2 linked regions of the Tamandua tetradactyla genome follow. The main gene of each other region encodes a partner of the protein of the gene in region 2 in a complex. Links are inferred from orthologs where the notes say so. Each region holds a gene or a part of one and is shown on either strand. Other genes may lie near its edges.

Region 1 (9,988 bases), on a different chromosome or scaffold from region 2:
GCTCTCTCTGAATCTCTCTGAATCTCTTTCTCCAAAATGTTTCCTCTTTTATAGGACTCCAGTAAACCAATCAGGACCCACTCAAATGGGTGGAGACATGTCATCCCCTAATCCAGTTTATCAATCATTCTTGACTAAATCACCTCAACCAGGGAGATGATCTCATTACAGTTTCAAATATACAGTATTGAATAGGGATTATTCTACCTTTATGAAATGGAATTTATATTAAAACATGGCTTTTCTTAGGGGGCATACTTCCTTTCAAACCAGCACAATTTGTGAATAGGATCTTTGGAGATCCTATTTAGATGAAGCCAAATTGGATCAGGGTGAGCCTTAATCTGTATTACTGAAGGCCTTATAAAGAGAAGAAATTCAGACACAGCCAGTCAGAAGAAGTCAGAAGTTCTTAGAATCCAGAAGTAGGAGATGCCAGAGAGTGACATGGCCACGTGACAGAGGACTGCCATCACTAGAATGCTTGTGTCTCTGGGAGAAGGCATGGCTTTGCCGAAGTCTCAATTTTGGACTTCTAGCCTCCAAGCTGTAGGCCAATACATTTTTATTGTTTAAGCCAACCCATTGTGTAGTATTTGATGTAGCAGCTCTGGCAAACTAAGGCATTGATGGTAGATATAATCAATTGATTATAGATGAAAATTCTACCTCAAAAACCTTCATAGTAACAAAAAGTCCAGTGCTTTACCACACAACTAGACACCATGACCTATTTTGAGTTGACATATGAAATTAACTGTCACGGTGTCTGTGCTGGTTTGAATTTGTGGACCCCAGAAAAGCCATGTCCTTTAATCCTCATTCAATATTGCTGGCTGAGAGTTTTTGATTGTTCCCATGGAGATGTCACTCACCCGATTGTGGGTATTAACTTTTGATTAGAGGGAGATGTGACTCCACCCATTCCTGGTGGGCCTTGACTGGAATCCTTTAAAAGAGGAAACATTTTGGAGAGAGACCCTTTTTTAGAGCCACAACAGAGCCTGTGCAGCCAGAGACCTTTGGAGATGAAGAAGGAGAATGCCCTCGGGGGAGCTTCATGAAGCCAGGAGAGAAAGCTAGCAGACATAGCCATGTTCGCCAAGTGCCTTTCCAGTTGAGAGAGAAACCATAAACGTCATCAGGCTTCCTGAATCAAGGTATCTTTCCCTGGATGCCTTAGATTGAACATTTCTATAACTTGCTTTAGTTGGGACATTTCCACGGCCTTAGAACTGTGGACTTGCAACTTAATAAATTCCCCCTTTTAAAAGCCATTTTGTTCCTAGTATATTGCATTCCTGTGGCTAGCAAACTAGAACAGTGTCCTTATCCAAATTTTAGTTTAAAAACAAAGCAAACAACTACACTTATACAATTATGTTATGGTGGAAATTAAACAACTCTGTGTATACCTGCTTTCCTCACAGAACAGAAGAAAAACTGAGGTGCTGAGAGTGAGCTAGATTTCTGGTTCTATCAGTTAGTCACTGCTGTTCTTGGACATGTTACCAGGTTGTTGAGAAGATCAAGTAAGTCAATGGTTATAAAACCTTTCATAAATACCCAATAAAGAACCTCACCGAAAATAATAGTGAAGGGCCTAGCTGCTAACAAGTGGTAGATCTGGACTTGGAAAACAGCTTCATTTAGAGTTTTTGCTTAACAGGCAGATTATCAGGGAAGGGCCTAAAAATCTTCACTTAAATACCATTCTTGCTGGAGGTTTCAGTTCTTGTTTTAAGAAAACTGCCTTAGGGGGTGGGCCACGGTGGCTCAGCAGGCAGAGTTCTCGCCTGCCATGCCAGAGACCCGGGTTTGTTTCCTAGTACCTGCCCATGCAAAAAAAACAAAACAAACAAACAAACAAAAACGTGCCTTAGGATAAAACGTGGTTTATTTTGATCTGATATTCATGTTTTGTTTATATCTATTCTTTCAGTCTCAGAGAGGTGGCCTTCTCTTGAACTCATCTCCAAGTTGCTGAAACTTCCAGTGCTTTTCATCTTAAAGAACAGATCAGAATGTGTTTAGAAGGCATAGCAGGGGTTAAGTTAGTTATGAAGGAAAGATTACTCTGTAAAATTGAACTTTCATCCTTCCCATTCACACCCTGCTCCCTTTCCTACCTCAATAAGTGACGGCTCTTTCCACCCACTTTCCTAAGGCAGAAACTTGGCATTATCCGTGACACCCCTTTTTCCTCACAAACTATGAATCACCAAGTCCTGTCTTTTTCCACACCTCTTGAGAGACAGAATGCATCGTGTCCCTCCATCTCCTTCAATACTTCCTGTTTAGAAGTAGTCATAGCAGTAGCAGTAGCTAACATTTGACCAAAATGCATGCTAGGAATTATCATCAGGATTTTACATCAACTCATTATCCTCAAAATAACCCCATTATTATTATTTGAATTTTATAGATGAGAAAATGAAGCACAGGAAATTAAGAAACTTGCCTGAGATTTCACAGATAGCAGCCATAATTCCAACCTAGTCCTTCTGGCCCTCTCTGAAACTCCACAGCCATTAGTGCAGGCAGATATCTCTCTTCTCTTCCTGGCCCAAGTTTCCTCCTGACTGATTTCCAAGACTTTCATCTTGTCCCCCTCCAATTAATTTTCCACGTTTGCTCTAAAACAAAAATGGAACCTGCTACCCCATTATTTAAAGCCTGACCTCTGTTGTGCCACTGTTCAAACAGTCCAACTCCTTAGCCTGGGCTGGCCTCTGTGTTTTGTTCTGTCCTCATCTCAGTCTTTCTACCACTTTTCAACTTTTTAGTTCCTGGAATTCACCCATGCTATTTTCATTGCTTAGGACCTCTTCTGCCACCTCCACCCGCACCAGATTCTTGAAGGGAAAGGATTGGAGTTCTGCATTTGTTAAATTAGTTGTAGAAAAGTAGCAATGGTTTATTACTGGACAGTGTTAGAGACAAGAATTGTGAAATTTTTTCCTGGGCTTCATTCAAAACAGGATGAATTCTCTCATCCAGTGTTTCCATAACACTTTTATCAGAGTGCTTTCTCAACCTTGTAGTGTCCCTACTGGGTTCTTGTCTATAACCTTACAAAACCTTCTGTTACTCATTTTGTAATTCTCTCCTAGCTCACTACATGATCCTGTGTCCAGTGGATTAAAGAACAGTTCTTTAAAGGCTGGCCTAGAAGACTAACTTGAGGACTCCTTCAGGTCCCTCTCAGGCCCTGCGCGGCTCCGGTTCCAGCATCACAGGTAACGAGGCGCCTCGGTTCGCCACGGGCCGCGGCGAACCCCAAGCGTTGGACCCAGTGGCTGTGGGGCAGCTGTGGCCTCCTCCCCTCGCTCTTCCAAAGAGAAAGGGATGGAAGCACAGAAGAAACGCGGGCTTGGGGAACCTTGGCAAATTTACTCCGTATGGGGTTCCATGGGGTAAAGCGACCGAGAGCCAGGGCTTCTCTCCCATGACGGGCCTCCAGGCGCCTCCTCCCGCTCCCGCCTCAGCCCGCCGGGCCTCTCCCGGCTTCCCTCCCTCTTCCCACTCGGAACAAACAGCCTGCAGTTCCCGCAGCGGCAGCGCGAGACCCGGCGCCGGGCCCGGGCGGGACGCGGGAGCTCGCGTTGCTCCCTCAGCGCTCCAGCGCCGGGCCGGGGCGGGGGCAAGGGGCGAGGCGCAACCCGCCCCACCGCACCCCCTCGGCCGCCAGCAGCGGGCGGAGCCGGGCCTCGGGCCACCGCGACGGGAGCAGCGCCCGGCAGCGCGGCAGGCAGCGAGCTCCGCATTCGAACCTCCCTCGCTAAGACAGTCTCCGCCCCACAATGCACCGCGGCGGGCAGCCTTTGAAAAAGCGGCGCGGCTCGTTCAAGATGGCGGAGCTCGACCAGTTGCCCGACGAGAGTGAGTAGCACCTCAAAGCACCCCCCTTTCCTCCCAGCGGTCGCCTGCCCCGGGCTGCAGCGGCCGGGACAGATGGCGTGCCCTCCGCCGACCGGGTGGGCTGACTGCCAGTCCCACTAGGTGCTCCTAGTCCTCCCACTCCTGTGTTGCTGCCGCGTCGCCGCCTTTGTTATGGTGTCTGTGTATTGGTTTCTGGGGTTGTGGGAGCGCCAGGGCCGGAAACCGAAAGCCGGAGAGCCCAGCCGGTGTCGGGCGGAGGCGGTGGCTGCTCCCCTGGCCGGACTCCGGCCCCCGGCCTTGGTGGGAGAAGAGCTGCCCCCGGCCGCGGGGACTGTGTCCGCCGCCCGCACCGCTCGCCTGGCGCGGAGAGACACCGGCATGGGTTATGTAATGCTCCTGTCCCCGGGCCCGGGGAGGACTCGGCCGGGGAGGGGGTAGCCACCTGCCCTTTCTTCTTGCCCCACCTTCAGACGGAGTCCTGCCCCAGTTGTTACCTGTCCAGGCACTTGTGGTCTTCACTGTCACACCTCCCCCCGCGATGTGCCCACCTCTGGGAGTGTTTCCATGTCAAGGGGCTGCCCTTTGTGGGACCACAGGTGGCAGTGGATCCTTCCAGAGATAATCCAGACTGGATACTTACGGCACAGGTAGCCTTCATCCCCACAGACTTTCTCCTGCGTGTGCGTATCTTGAGAGTCATGGGGGTACCTTGGACATATTGATGTGACCAACCAGTGTACCTGTACAGTACTCCTGACGCCCACGCCTGTGCATTGCTTCACTTAGCCATGTCTACTCACTCTGCCTCAATGGAATCTCATGAACATATATTCTCGCTTGTGTTTAGTACGTAAAAGCACTAATTCCATAGTTTAAGCACAGTGGAATGCAACTTTGTAATTTACTAAATTGCGTAAATTATATAGAAAAGCAAATGTTTTATTTTAGTTAATTACAAAGAGATTCTGAGTCCACACTCACTATTTAGTTTATGTATACATAGCATTTGCAAGAGTTTTAATTTAACAAAAACGAAGGGCTCAATCACTGAAAAATCTATCAGTGCACAATATAAATAGACTTTGAAAATTAGAGCCAAATACAGGCAATTCTTTGTGGAATATATATTTTCAATGTGTTATCAAGTTAAAATTAAAAGTTCAAGTTCTAGTTAAGCCAAGCTGGTGAAAAGTTGTATTAAGAGTATTTTTGTTTTAAATTTACTCTAGCCAGTGCTAAGTTCCAATAGTACTTTCTCAGCAATGGAAATGTTCTATTCTGTGATGTCCATTAGGATAACCTTTAGCCACATGTGGCTATAGAGCCATTGAAATGTGGCTTGAGTGATTGAGGAACTGAATTTTAAATTATTTAAATGTTCCTCCTCGTTATCTTTACCAAGAGATAACTTTTATCACCTCTTAGAAGAAGTTAGAATAGACTTATTTTAGTTACTACAGTCATTCTTTTGAGTGAAAGATGTTTTAAGTGGCTTTTAATATAGCTCTTATTGGGAGTATTTGCATTATCGTTGCCAAACATTTACCTAGGACTTACATATTTCTTTGTAGGTTCAAATCACGGCTGTACTTTCAGACTATATAACCTAATCATTTATATTACTTTGTCACATCTCTAGTACATTGTATTGGGGAAGTGGGGATGTACTTGTGTGCATGTCTTGTTTAGCTAGACTGCAGCTTTGGTGAAAGCAGAGATTGCCTTATGTGGCTTGTGACACAGTGTCACAAATCAAGTATATGTAAATACTTGATTTATATGGAATTAAACATAGGGTAAGAGGCATTACTGAAGATACTGGAACAGGAAAAGTAAAAGTGATTTCAGTTTGATACTGGAAATAATAATTTGTTTATTCATCAAGATTAGGCAAGGGGACTAGCTAATATATTCACCAATAGCCAGCAACTATTATCAATAATAAATGCTACCATTTATCGAGTACTTACTATGCACAGACACTGTGCAAAGCATTTTACATAAATCTATTCATTTAATCCTCATGTCAATTGAGATGAGTACTCTAATTAGTTTGATTTTATATCAGATCTTTCCCTTGTGCTCTTGTTCTTGACATCTCTTGCTTATTTCACATCTCCTATTAGATAGCTCAGAAGTTCCTCAAATTTTACAAGCTCAAAATCTAACTCATGACACCAACCCAGGACAGAGATATTTTCAGTGGTCCTTGTCTTAATGAATGGCTCCATCTGGCAGGGCAAGAAACCTAGAGGTCATCTTTGGTACTCCCTTCTGTTTCATTTCCCATATTTAAGCCTTTACTAAGTCTTGTAGCTTTTTCTTTCAAAATGTCTCTTAAATCTACCTGCTTCTCTCCATTACCTGAGTCCAAGCTGTCACCATCTCTTATCTCCACTAATCACTTCAACCTTTCATTAATCCATCACCCCTTTACCCACATACATTCACACTTAAGCCAGAGTGAACTTTTCAAAATGTAAATATGTCTTGCCTTTAGTAGCTACAAGATCCTGCATGGTCTACCTTGTCCCACCTTTCCAGCCTCATTTTGGACCTTCCTATCATTTATCCCTTTGAAATACTTTGGACCTTTTTCATTCCCTCTATTTACTAAGATGTCTTTTCTGCAGTGCCTTTCCATGTGCTATTCTCTCCACCTAAAATGGTCTTTCCTCCCCTTACTTTCAAATACCTTCAGCTTATCCTTTAGACTCCATTTTAGCTTCTTCAGAGAGCTATTTTCTGTCCTCCCTTACAGCATTAAACTACTTATTAAAACCTTTCTCATAGCACTGTGTAAGTCCTTAGTGGCAGCTGTCACAGTTGCAGTTTTTAATTTGTTTATGTGATTGTTTGGTTAGCATCTGGTCCTTTTACTATTTTAGAAGCCCCACCAGAGTAGGTACTAGTTCTGTTTTTAACACTCTTGCACCCCAGTTCTATGCATAAGGCCTAGCTTACCTCTCTGACCTTATTTCATACCACTTTTTCTTGTTTGGTACTCTTGAAGCACACTGGCCTTTTTTCCCTTTCTTTGAATATATTTTAAGCTAATTTCAGTTATTTTTTTTTTAGTTTTTGTTTTAACCTTCTGTTTCTTCTGTATTACTTCTTCCTTGTGTTCTTATGGCTAGACCTTCTCAGAAGTTTCCTCTTCCAGCCTTTCCTAACCATGGTATATGAAGTAACTGCTATAGGAAATAAACAGAGTGATATCAGTATGGGGGAGTTACTTTATATATATGGATAATAATTATCTTTTTGTTTACTTGTTTATTGTGTGTCTGTTCTCACTAGAACCCTGAGAACAGGGTTTTGTCCATCTTGTTCCTTGGGATATGCCCAGCCTTAGATTAGTGCTTATGCCAGGCATTCAGTAAATATTTGCTGCATGAGTGAATAAATATATCCAGCTAGAATGGGATTCTAACTTAATCAGATTTACCTGCCTGTAAATTCATGTTATTAACCTAATAGGTCTTATTGATTGATCAAAATAATTCCAACAATAAACACTAAATGAAAATTTGCCATGTGGTATGTACACTATTCTTAGCACTTTTACATACATTATTTTAAACATTTTTTATTGTAAGATGTAACATCTATACAAAACAAAAAAAGAAAACAATAATTTTCAAAGCATACTTCAACAGATAGTTATAGAACAGATCCCAGAGTTTCTGCCATCTCAGATTTTTTCTTTTAGCTGCTCCCAAACACTGGAGGCTAGATGGAAGATTAATATAGTGATTCAGGAGTCATACTTGTCTGTTAAATGCTATTCTCTTTTATAACTTCTTCTCCCTCGATCCCTCTCTCAATCCATAGGGATCCCTGGGCAACACCCCTTCTGACTTCTTCATGTTGATAAGGGGTGTAGACACTAAAGGATAGAGCGATTAATTAATTGATAATGTTAGAGAGGCTGGTTCCTTTGGGTTTCAGTATTTATCTGACCTAGGAATCCTCCGGGAGTTATAGTTTCCAGAAAAGCAAACTTAGCGCATGAAACCTCTGTAGAGTCTCAGTTTGAGCCCCAGGTATTGTCAAGAGTCAACAGGAGTGATGCTGGTTGGGGTTTAGCAAACCATGGCAATCAGTACTATCTAATTGAAGCTTGCACAATAGTTGCCTCCAGAATAGTCTCTGGACTCCACCTGATTTCTCTTGGCTCCAGATGCCTCATCTTTTTAGGCATCTTTTATTGCTTCTCTTCCTCCCCTTGGCCCAGAAGACATTTGCATATATTATTAACTCATTTACTCCCACTTTACAGATGAAGAATCAGCAGCACAGAGAGGTTAAGTACTTTACTTAAGGTAGCAAAGACAGGAAGTGGCAGAGTCAAGATTCAGATGTATGTAGTCTCCATCTAGAGCCAGTACTCTTAACCACTGTGCTATACTGTCTCACAAAAAGATTAGAGTTGATAGGTCAGAATCCCCAAGATATGGTTCCTACCATCGTGGAGCAGAAATTCTTCAAATCTCTGCTCAAATGTCACCTTATCAGAGAAGCTAATCATGAGCAACTTACGTAAAACTAATAGTTTTCTCACATATACCCCAGTCCCCCCACACTGTCTATCCCCTGTTATTCTGCTTTAGTTTTTTCTGTAATGCTTGTTATCACCATGTGTGTACGCTCATTAGGATGTAAATTCCATGAGAACAGAGACTGGCTCTTTTTCTTGTTGTTGTATCCCCAGTGCCTAAAGCAGGAATGTTTCTCCTACTTCCCGTCACCCACAGATCCTGTACTTTACTCATATCAGAACCTGTAGTCCAGTGTTTCTCAGTGTGGTTCTGGAGGTTACCTATAGCACATGCAAATGTGGTCAGTACTCTATATATTTTCACTGAAGAGTGAATGGTTTTTTCTTTTTCTCAAGTGAGCTGGATTTCTCTTGTTAACTATGTGGCTATTTACACTGACTACTACTGCTGCTCCTTTGTAAAGTTGTGTTATTTGAGGCTTTTAAGCAAGAATTTATGGCATCTTCTTTTTTTCCTGACTATACTGCCTTTGGTTATTTAACTTCAGTGTGTTGTAAAGAAGCTGGTGAGTTGTCCTGTTATCCATTCTCCACATATAGACAAGTGAGGTGGGTAAAAGAAGAATGACTTTGATGCTAATGCTTTGTCTGTTCTATAGGCCTCTCATTCTGGCCTGCGGAGGAAAAATCAGTTGTTCATATGCCTTGGACTTCTTTGTAATATACCTATCCAACTGAGATTTTAACCTTAGCTCTCCCTGACTCCCTTAAAAACTTCTTTCCCTGATGTTTCTCCTACTTCCCGTCACCCACAGATCCTGTACTTTACTCATATCAGAACCTGTAGTCCAGTGTTTCTCAGTGTGGTTCTGGAGGTTACCTATATAGCACAGCCCCCTGGGAAGCTTTACTAAGAATACAGATCTGCATTTATGAGAGTTTCCTGGTTATTCTAATACATGTGAAAGTTCGTTCTAGACAGTCAACCCCTCCAACTTTATCCTAGCTCCACTTGCTGTTTTGGACTTCCTTTCAAGGTTGGATCTTTAAGTGTTGTACATACCTGCGTTTTAGACTTTTAAGGGACTTATCACCTGTCATGCTATCACTGGGTCATTTCCTTTTTTTTTTCCCTCTACTCCGTTACTACTTCTGATCTTAGCTGCAATAAATGTCAGTTCCCTTTCTTTTCTGCTTCTCTGGCACCAGAACACTTCTACAGAAGAGCCAGAATTGCTTCTGTTCCTACCTTCGCTCCTTTTTTACGTTTTCTCTTGGGAAAAGGCTTCCCGTTCTCACAGCCTCAGCAGACTCCCTAATGTCTCTCTCTGATTCTTCTTTATCTGAGCTCTGTTCTACAGCTTAAATTGTCTGCTAGATATTTCTTATCATACATCCAACCATCACTTCAAACTCAACATTGCTAAAATTAAGTGGATATGCTTTTACCCCCAAACCGAGTTCCTTTTCCCCTCATTTTGTGAAATAATTATTGATTTTTTTTTTTTTAATTTTTAATTGCAGGCTCTTCAGCAAAAGCCCTTGTCAGTTTAAAAGGTAAGAATTGTAGCATTTTTAGGTAGGTATGGCATAAACTGGGAATTT
Region 2 (9,988 bases):
TCTATTTACGAAGTGGATGAGGTGGTGTGGACTATATTCTTCAAAATAGGAATGTCCACAAAGACAAAGAAAGGCTGTAGAAATGTTCTTGGTTAAAGGAAAAACTAAAGAGATATAAGTGAATACAATATTCGGTCTCAGATTAGAAATTGTAGTCAAAGAAAAAATATGCTATAAAAGACATAACTGGGGTGGGCCACAGTGGCTCAGCAGGCAGAATTCTCACCTGCCATGCCAGAGACCCACGTTTGATTCCTGGTGCCCGCCCATGAGAAAAAAAAAGACATTACTGGGTCAACTGGAAAAAAAAACCTAGAATATAGATGGTAGATTAGATACAATTATTTAAATAATGCTAGATTTGCTGAAGTTGATAACTTTTATTTAAGAAAACATAAATTGAAGTACTTGGGACAAAGGTCTATAACGTATGCTTTTACTTTGAAATGGCTGAGGAAAATATTATTTAAGAGAGAGTAATATCTTTAAGGGAGAAAGATCAAATGATAAAGCAATAGGTGAATCTAGATAAAGGGTATACGAATGCTCTTTGTATTTTTCTTATTTTTGCAATTTTTCTATAAGCTTGAAATTATTTCCAGATAAGAAAAAATTTGTATGAAAAAAATTTATAGCTAAAAAAGATCTAGCATAGAGGCCTCTGAATGAAGCCAGAATTGGGGGAAGTAAGGCAAAGGAAGAATGTGAGGAGTAGGAAAAGATGCACGTGTGATAAACTGAACCAGGATTGAATGAAATCAAATGATTTAAAATAAAGAAAAATCATATTCTAAAATTAAATTTATAATATATAAAACAACATTTGAAAAATCAAAATACTTTACCTTAATTTAGCTGAACGTAGTATTCTGGTAAGTGACACACAATTTCCTTCCATAACACCCCTTCCAACTGTGGGAATAATGCTTTTACGGCATGCAACATATAATGAACATGCCAACCAGTGTATAACTTCTCCCTGGCAGGCAAAAGACAAACAGCAAAATGGATATGCTATTATGTTAAAATACCTGAATTTTAGAGCCAGAAGAGCTCTTATTTTGTATAATTTTCCTTCCGGAGGTAAAGGCCAGGGAAGTAAAGATACCTACCCAAAATCACAAAGCTAAATTAGTTGTAGTGTTATAAAATTCCTTAGTCTTAGTCCTGTTTTCTTACAATATAACATGCTAAATCAGTATATTAATCTCTCACCTATCCCCCAAATCTAATATTCCTGAAAGAGTTCTCTTTAATTTTGCAGCCTTAGCTTTCTCAACTTTGACTTTGAGGATACTGAAGTTCCATTCCTTTCTACTATTTTAGTTTTATGCTTCTTTTTTAACTAGTTTGACAGAGAAAGAAAAGGGCACAGCATAAAAAAGACTATCATTTTTGTGAAGTAAAAATTGGGGGACTAATTTACCCCAAAACATGTTTAAAATAGAAAGTATGACTTTTCATCTTAGTAGATATCTTCTTCTTTTATTCAGAATATTGTGAAATTTTATGGCTATATTGAACATGCAATCTGCAATATATGTGTTCACAACTGAATAATTGCTGATGTTTGGTATGACCAAATTCAAGAGTGTGGGTGAGGCAGACATTTTTTATGCATGGTTCACAGTCTCTCTGCCACCCTGGTGGTCATCTGCAATCTCCTTCAGCTTTTTCCATCTCTTTTCCTGAAAAAAGTCTCTGGTAAAGAAGCATATTTGATCTGTTCATAAGGTAGGCTGGAAATGCTAGGAAATCAACATCCTGTGAGACTATTCTCAATCAAAGGGTGATAGGAAATGCTGGAAAATACTTCAGCTGCCTTGTCCCTTCAGGGAATATTAAGATGTATTCTACACAATCTTTGAAATAGTCCACAAGGGAATTGAGCCCCAGCTGCTCAAAGCATTAGCTCTTCTTTTTTTAACAAATTTTCCCTTCTACTCCCCTCCCAATCTCTGATCTGTTTTCTATATCCCCAAATTTGCGACTTTTAATTATCTAAGTGCTATCACACAATTTTTGTCCTTATGTGCCCTGCTTTTTTCACTGAGCATAATGTTCCTTCCATATTGCAGCATGCCTCATAATTTAATTTTTTCATAGGGCTAAATAATATTCCAATGTGTGAACATACCACATTTTGTTTGTTCATCCTGGACGCTTGGGTTGTTTCCATCTTTTGGTTTCTGTAAATAATGCTGCTAGAAACACTGGCATTCGGGTTATCTGTTTGAGATCCTGCTTTAGTTCTCTTTGGAAATACACCTAGAAGTGGAATTGCCAGATCATATGCTAACTCTATATTTAACTTTTTTGAGGAACTACCATATTGCTTTCTACAGTGGCTGCACCATTTTACATTCCTACCAACACACTAGAGTGCCAATTCCTCCACATCCTCTACAACACTTCTGATTGGTTTTTTTTTTTTCTAATAACCATCCTTTGTGGGTGTAAAGTGGTATCTCATTGTGGATTTGATTTGCATTTCCCTAATGCCTAATGATGTTGAGCCTCTTTTCATGTGCTTATTGGCTGTTTGAATATCTTCTTTGGATAAATGTCTAAGTCCTTCGCCCATTTTTAACTGGGTTGACATTGTGTTTTTGAGTAGTAGCTCTTTACATATTCTGGTATTAAGCCCTTATTCAATATGTGGTTTGAAACCATTTTCTCCCATTCTGTAGGTTGTCTTTTTACTTTCTTGATAATTTTCTTCAATGCACAAAAGCGAGTCTTAATTTCAATGCTACAATAAAGATGGCATTTGAGAATTCAACATTTAATTCTGTTTTAGATGTAAGATATCTCCAAGCTAGAATTATTTCATGACTTCATTGCAAAAACGTAGACAGATTTTAAGGATTAATAATTACAGACACAAATTTCATAGCACAGCACAATATTGTTCCTATTCACTGTTCTGCAGATCATTCTTAAGGCCAGACTCCAGAAGACTAAATATATTGATAAAAAAGATTTCTCGCAACAAATCAAAAAAAGGGGCAGGTAGAAATAAGTAACAAGTAATAAAACTGAGACCATCGAATGTTCATACCCTAAAATAATCAGGAAAAAATAAGTTTGTTCAAGGCCTCAGATGAGGCAGGGAAGCTTAAGGTTGAATAGTTTTGGAATTGTTTGGGAATAGCATCTACATATTACAGAGCCTTTGTGTACTGGATGAAAACATTTACTTAGTAAAACAGAGAATATATAAGTACTAGAATTATGCTTTGATTTTTTAGAATGAAGAGAAATATATACTATTATCTATAACTGGTGGGATATATGCTATAAAAGAGGAATTAAGATGTTATGGGAGAATATAGCATGGAGAATAATTTTCAATGGAAGTCAGGGAAGGCTTCACAGAGGGAGACTTAAAATTGATAAATGGTAAATCGCCAAAAATGTAACAGGGAGCTTGTCAAGTGGACTGGAAAATGATAGGAGACAGAGAGAAGAGCTCTTAGGAACAGCAGAAACATATGAAAATGTCTACTCCAAGTGCCTTTCACCAAAAACCTAAGGAAAAAAAAAAAGGGAAAACAGAACACTCTGGATAGAATAAACACCAACAAAATCTCGATATATGCACGTGAGCTTCCTAAATCAAACATTTAAGATGCCCTAATCAACTCTTCTTAATTGAAAATTTAGCTCTTCAACTTTCCTAGGGAAGGAGGGGTGAGGGAAAAAATTCCAGGCACAAAACTGGAAGCAAGCATGGCACATTAAAGGACAAGAAAGAGGTACTTAGTTTAATGCCTTGACCATAGTTGATACTCAGCAAATGTATATTTAATGAGATCAAACGAGGACCTGGGATATCAGATATGCTTTCTTAGGCTTTCAAAAGTCAATCTCTTCTCAATTAAGAGGTCATAATTCACATTATCCCTTACTTTTTCTTTCCTTAGCCTTCCAGGCATGCCACCCATGGACGCAGATCACTGTCCTTTACCGGATCCTAACCTGGCCCCACCCCCACCCCAGCCCAGCCCAGCCCACCCCTCCCCCTCCCTGTGGCATGGTGGGAGTTTCCCCACGCAGAGAGTTTCTGTCAGGTACTCTTTCCTCATATATAGACGTAGTATATTCTACACCAAATTTCCAACTCTAAAACAATTTCACTCACCTGGTGGCCTGTGTATGGGTCCACCTCCCTCGGATCATAAATGCCTTGAACATAAAACTACTAGAGCACTACGCTGAAATATATTCCATCACAATTCTTTCGCTACACTGGGCCCCAAAGTCTACGGGCTTACACTTGCCTGGGCTTCTTAATAGCTGAATGACCACAGCAAAATAATCCTCTGGTTCTTAACATTACCTGGAAAGTAGGTATAATAGTATCTTACCACATTCACAGGGCTGCTGCGAGGACTAAATGCAAGAACGCTTGGGGAAAATCTAATAACGATAGCTGAAATTCATCTTATACAAAGCCAAATACTGTGCTAAACATCAGGATAGTCTCATTTTCTCCTCCCACCAACCAAATGAGTTAGGAACTATTATTTCCACCTAGCAGAGGAGGAAGGGCCTGAGTGGCAAGTACTGAATGCACACTGGCTTTGAGCAAACTGCTGTACAGGGCAGGCTGCAAAGTGAGTAACCTACCCCTCCTCTCCAATGAGGCAGAAGGGTGGAGAGGTTAAATGGCTCAGACATCACTAACCATGTACCTCTCGACAAGTATTTAACTTCTTTGTGGTTCATCTTCCTCATCTATAAAACAGGGATCACAGAACGTGTGCAAAGGTTGTGACCGGAACTGAGATGACACATTTAAAGTGTGAGCAGTGTCCTGGCATGTTACTCATTTTGGTGTTTACCATGTTCCCATTTGCTTGTTTTAAGGCAGTACCAGGGCGTTGGTGGCGGTTGGCGAGGCTGAGGGAGGTCTGATCTGGAAGTCTGGGGAACCCCTGTTTGGCGCGTGACCTTGGACATGCCGCTCCTTTTCTAGGCTTCAGTTTCCCGCTTCAAAAATGGGTAGGGTGACCGATCTACATCCGCCCTTCCAGCTCTGCACTCCTCGGAGCCCGGCTGCGCAGCGACCCTTCTCGGTGGGGAAACTCCCACCACCCCACAGGGTAGGGGTTCGGGTGAGGCAGGGGCGGGGCGGGGGTGGGGCCTGGACGCTAGCCCGCTCCGCGGAGGGTCGGGTCCGGCTGCCCCACCTGCCGCCGCTCACCTCTAGGCTGTAGTTGCCCTGGATGGCGGTGAAGTCGTCCAGGGCTTCGGCCGCACTCCCCTCATCCAGGTTCAGCTCCTGGCACAAGGCCTGCAGCGCTTCCCGGGCCGCGGCGACCACCGCCGCCCCCTCAACGTGGGGCACGTCTTCGAACATCCCCTCAGCCCCGAGGACCGCGCGGCTCCAGGCCCCAGCTCCTTTCTCCCGCCCCAGCTCCTTTCTCCCACCCCGGCGCGCTACCCACAATCACCCGCGCCAAAGCGCGCGAAAATGGGCGACTTCGGAGCTTCTCTTCAGTCGTCTGCCTCCGCTGTTCTCCTAAAAGTCCTTTTCTCCTTTCGTGCTCCCAGCTTTCCCTTTCCGCAATTGTGATAAGAAGATGGACTAGGGATCCCGGAAAAACTTCTCCTAGCCCGTAAGGGGTCGCGGAGGTCCAGCCGGCAGGACGAATCGAGGCGGAGGGATCTGAGGCTCGCGCGCGGAGACTGCTGGACGCTGTAGTCCGTAGCGTGCCCAGAAGGGCTCTTTTCCTTGGTTCTTTAACCTGGCTGCCGGTTGGCAGGTGATCTTATTCATCTCAGGGAGACAGACGAATCCTCTTCTATCCGGCCAGCGGCCCTGGCTTTGTTTATATTCTGGGCGCCACGTGTAGTTAGTCCCTTCAGTTAGGGAATGGAGGCGGGAGCAGAGAAAAGTGGCCCCCCTGAACCCGGGACCTCGCGTCAGCAATCTTCCTATCTAGCGCCCAGTGTGAGTGGCTGTCGAATGGCTAAATGAATATGCCCTGGTTTTATCACAGGGCTGGTGAGGCAAGTATGTTAGGGTACATTTTCCCACCTCATTTTAATCGCTGAATGAGGCTTGGTCTCAGATGACAACTGCAGTAAGGGGGCCCTTTCCTAGCTTCCTAGACTCTGGGAACTTTCCCAGTAAAGACATTCATTCCAGACTTAGGAACGGCCTGAGCCTAAAACTGCAGACAAGGAATTCACAGTTTACCCTTCTGTTCCATCAAAACTCCTCCTCCTGGAAGAGCCAGAATCACTCTCTAGATCACCTTTATAGAAGGCAAATCAGAGCTCAGAATTTTTCAATGGATTCTCCTTGCCCTTAAAAAGATATCGGAACTCTTTTCCATGGTCTACAAGATCCTTCGTGGTCTGACTTAGCCTCATCTAGTGCATTATCCCCCAAGGTATAAAGTTCAGCCCCACTACTTTTAGACCCTAATGCAAGCTGCCAAGCTTGTTCCTGCCTTGAGGCCTTTCTCATATGCTGATCATTTGCTTGTCTGGCTTCTGCTCATCATTCAAGTTAATTGTCACCTTCTCAGGCCATCCCTGAACGCTGTATCTAAGGTAGAGGACCCTATTCCTCAAAACCCGTTTCATTGTCTTCATAGCACCTTACTACTATCTGGAATTTACTTATTTCCTAATGACTGTCTCTTCCTACTAAAATGTGAGTTGCATGAGAGCAGGGACCTTCCTTTCATATTCACCAATGTATTTCCAATGGTTAGATCAGTGCCTGATACATAGTAGGCATTCAGTACTCAGCCCAGTGTTTTACAAAATTACAAAGAGCCCATTGTTGCTTGGATAATGGGATGCAGTCACCAGAGACAGAAATGAAGACCAGTCAAAGTAGGTTGTGAAAGACTTCACATACAATCTAAGAGCCTGGACATTATCTTCAAGGCAGCCAAGATTATAAAGCAGGGTGGTAATGATCATTCTGTGTTTTGGACAGATCCTTTTAGCTGTGGTGTGACACATGGATGAGACTGGAGGTAGGGAGTCTTCTTCTGGGGAGCCAATACAAAAGTTCAGCCAAGAGATGGTGGGTCCAGCAGAAGAAGTGAGCTTGGAGAGAAGCCTCTGGCCTAGAACTGGAGGGGCCACGGCTGAAGAAAGGGGAGTCCCCGATAACACAAGCTTCCGTGAGAGCTAAGGTGGTAAAGTTTATGCTGTAACCTGGGATGGGAGCACAAGCAGAGGGATGACAGTAGTTCAGGAGCCACTGAGTTTTTGAGATGCTTATAGGAAGTTTAAGTGGAGGCTGTTGGGTCATGGAAGGTAGCCCCTCCCTCCTGGCAAATTTTCATTCTGTAATTCTTCATACAAGGAGAGGGGTGGGATTTTGAAACCAGCTGCAAGCCAGGTCCCAAATGAGCAAAAGCTCTAGCTAACCCCCTGCCTCCCCCCCCCAAAAAAACCTCAAACAGAACCACCAATGTGATATCTCCAACTCTGCTTCGCTCTAGAAGTTACTGCTGCAGCTGACTTCAGGTCCATTTCATTATTCTCTGGAGGGGATGTTGGCATGCAATATCAGCACACAGACTCTCCTCTTGTGAATTTTTACCCATTTAAGAGAGTTGGTTATGTGCAGTGCTTAGGGCCCTGAAACGGGTTATCATTCCTCCTTCTAACTCCCTTTCCTGGTGTGATTATAGTCAGCAAAGAAATAACAGGATTAGTGAAGGTGAGGTGGTTGAAGGGTTTCCTGAGTGGTTGATTTGTTTTCTAATTAACCTACGTGCTTATTTAAGAGAGCTTACATCTCAGTAGAGAGCTCTGCAAGTTGGATAGCCTGGACATGAGGATTTATAAATCCTCAGTAGTACCTGAAGCCAAGGGAGCAGGTTTATATCACTCATGGAATGTATTGGCATGAGAAGAGACCCATGTATTGAACCCTTAGAATGCCAACATTTATGGGATGGGCAGAATCTGAGGAGTGAGGAAAATAGGAGACTGGGTCATACAGATATAAAAACAAGAAACAGTATCTTAGAGGCCAGGAAGAAGTATTTCATAGAGTCTGACACTGCAGAGAATGCAAACAGGATGAGGAATTCAAAGACCTCATATTATCATTGGTATATTTTGGGAATCTCTGCCAGAGCAGTTTTCCTTAGCACAGGGGTAGAAACCAGATTACTGTGGTTGAGAGGCTAGCAAGAGGAACATTAGAACGTTGAGGTAGGAAGTAAAAATTCTTTAAGATGTTTAGTGGAGGAGAGGTAAAGGAAGAGTATTTTCCAGGATAGGGGAAACTCAAGAAAGTTAATAATCAGGGGTAGGACCAGACAGAGAGAGACTGAAGATAAAAAGAGATAAATGATATGCCTACATGTACAAGATACTGATTCTTCCTTTGCCATGACTTTTGGATCATCCAGACTTGAAATGAGGGGTATTGTTGGCTTGAAAGTGATCCAAGAACAAAAGAAACAGCTCTCAAGGATCATCCACCAAACAGATAAAAACAGAAACGGTATACCTGTTTTCTTCTCTTTGGGACTTGTTCTAGTTTGCTAGCTGCTGGAATGTGATATAGCAGAAACGGAGTGACTTTAAAAAGGGGGGATTTAATAACTTGCTAGTTTATAGTTCTAAGGCCAAGAAAATGTCCCAGTTAAAACATGTCTATAGAAATGTCCACTCTAAGGCATCCAGGGAACGATACCTTGGTTCAAGAAGGCCAGTGAAGTCCAGGGTTTCTCTCTCAAGTGGAAAGGCACATGGCAAACATGGTCAGGGTTTTTCTCTCATCTGGAAAGGCACATGGTGAACACGGCATCTGCTAGCTTCCTCTCCAGGCTTCCTGCTTCATGAAGCTCCCAGGGAAGCGTTTTCCTTCTTCATCTCCAAAAGTCGCTGGCTGGTGGACTCTCTGCTTTGTGGTTCTGCAGCATTCTGTCATCCTTCTCTGCTCTCTCAGACTCCAAAGTTTGCCGACTGGTGGACTCTGTGGTTCTCTCAGCCTCGTGGCTCTGCATGGCTCTGCTGCAGCTTTCTCATTCTCAAAAGGCGTTCTCTCCAAAAAAAGTCTCCTCTTTTATAGGATCCCAATAAACTAATCAAGACCCCCTGGAATGGGTAGAGACACATCTCCACCTAATCAAGTTTAATACCCACACTTGATTGAGTCACGTCTCCATGGAGATAATCGAATTAAAGTTTCCAAAATGCAGTACTGAATAGGGATTAGAAGAAACTGTTTCTCCCACAAAATCGATTAAGACCAAAACATAAATTCTTCCAAACTGGCACAGGACTGGATCTGTGCTTTAATAGGGGTTCACTGTTACCAGTTGAAACAAATTTAGGTGGTTTAATTGAAGATACATCTAACAGATCAGCCTCACTGCATGATTTTTTTTTCTTTTATTAATATGTTCTCCTTATTTTCTGTCAAATCTCATGTTGGTTGATTTTTTGTTATTGCCCAGGGACATGCTCATTTACCTTAACACAAAACTGGGCTTTCTGAATAGAAAATGATGTACTGATAGTGAAATAAGATTTACTCTGTCCATTTCTGATCCAGACACATGACAGTTGTTTCTATTATAATCCCAGTGTGTAACAGCCTCTATGATTAGCCTCCCTTTTGTGGTTTAATATTACAGAGCATGTGCCCTGGGCCTGATTAAGACCTTTAGAGGCTCCAAGACTAAAAAAATTCTATCAGTGCACATTATTCTCAAATGTAATTCAAAATACAAACAATTCTAAACAATGAGTGTTAGGAAAGTGCAACAAAGTTCTGATTACTTTTCCCAAGGTGACTTATTCTGTTGCTTTTTTGGTAATAATATTCTTTCAGAAAAAAATTTTTTTCTTATCTTTTTATACCCCGATTATGCCATGCCTTAAGCAGGTACTTGGTCTGCACATGCCCCTCTTAGGAAAAACTACTCAAACTTCTGTCAAAAACAGCAGTTATAGTTGTGGGGAAGGGGCAAGACCTGACCTCACCATTCTTCCT

What was found. Proteins that work in one complex are often made in the same cells at the same time.
Region 1: RBL1 (region 2) and LIN9 share a complex: the UniProt entries of both Homo sapiens proteins name them as parts of the DREAM complex. The link is inferred for Tamandua tetradactyla from reciprocal best matches to the Homo sapiens genes RBL1 and LIN9.

The regions. Positions count from the first base shown.
Region 1 is NC_135333.1:20,289,954-20,299,941, forward strand, and holds the start of LIN9 (protein lin-9 homolog), read left to right. Parts: upstream 1-3,768; 5' UTR 3,769-3,803; coding exon 3,804-3,882; intron 3,883-9,907; coding exon 9,908-9,940; intron 9,941-9,988. UniProt on the Homo sapiens protein: Acts as a tumor suppressor. Inhibits DNA synthesis. Its ability to inhibit oncogenic transformation is mediated through its association with RB1. Plays a role in the expression of genes required for the G1/S transition.
Region 2 is NC_135327.1:15,174,565-15,184,552, reverse strand, and holds the start of RBL1 (retinoblastoma-like protein 1), read right to left. Parts: upstream 5,418-9,988; 5' UTR 5,366-5,417; coding exon 5,210-5,365; intron 5,108-5,209; exon of another isoform or gene 4,851-5,107; coding exon of another isoform or gene 4,848-4,850; exon of another isoform or gene 4,741-4,847; coding exon of another isoform or gene 4,633-4,740; intron 3,973-4,632; exon of another isoform or gene 2,180-3,972; coding exon of another isoform or gene 2,138-2,179; intron 980-2,137; coding exon 846-979; intron 1-845. UniProt on the Homo sapiens protein: Key regulator of entry into cell division. Directly involved in heterochromatin formation by maintaining overall chromatin structure and, in particular, that of constitutive heterochromatin by stabilizing histone methylation.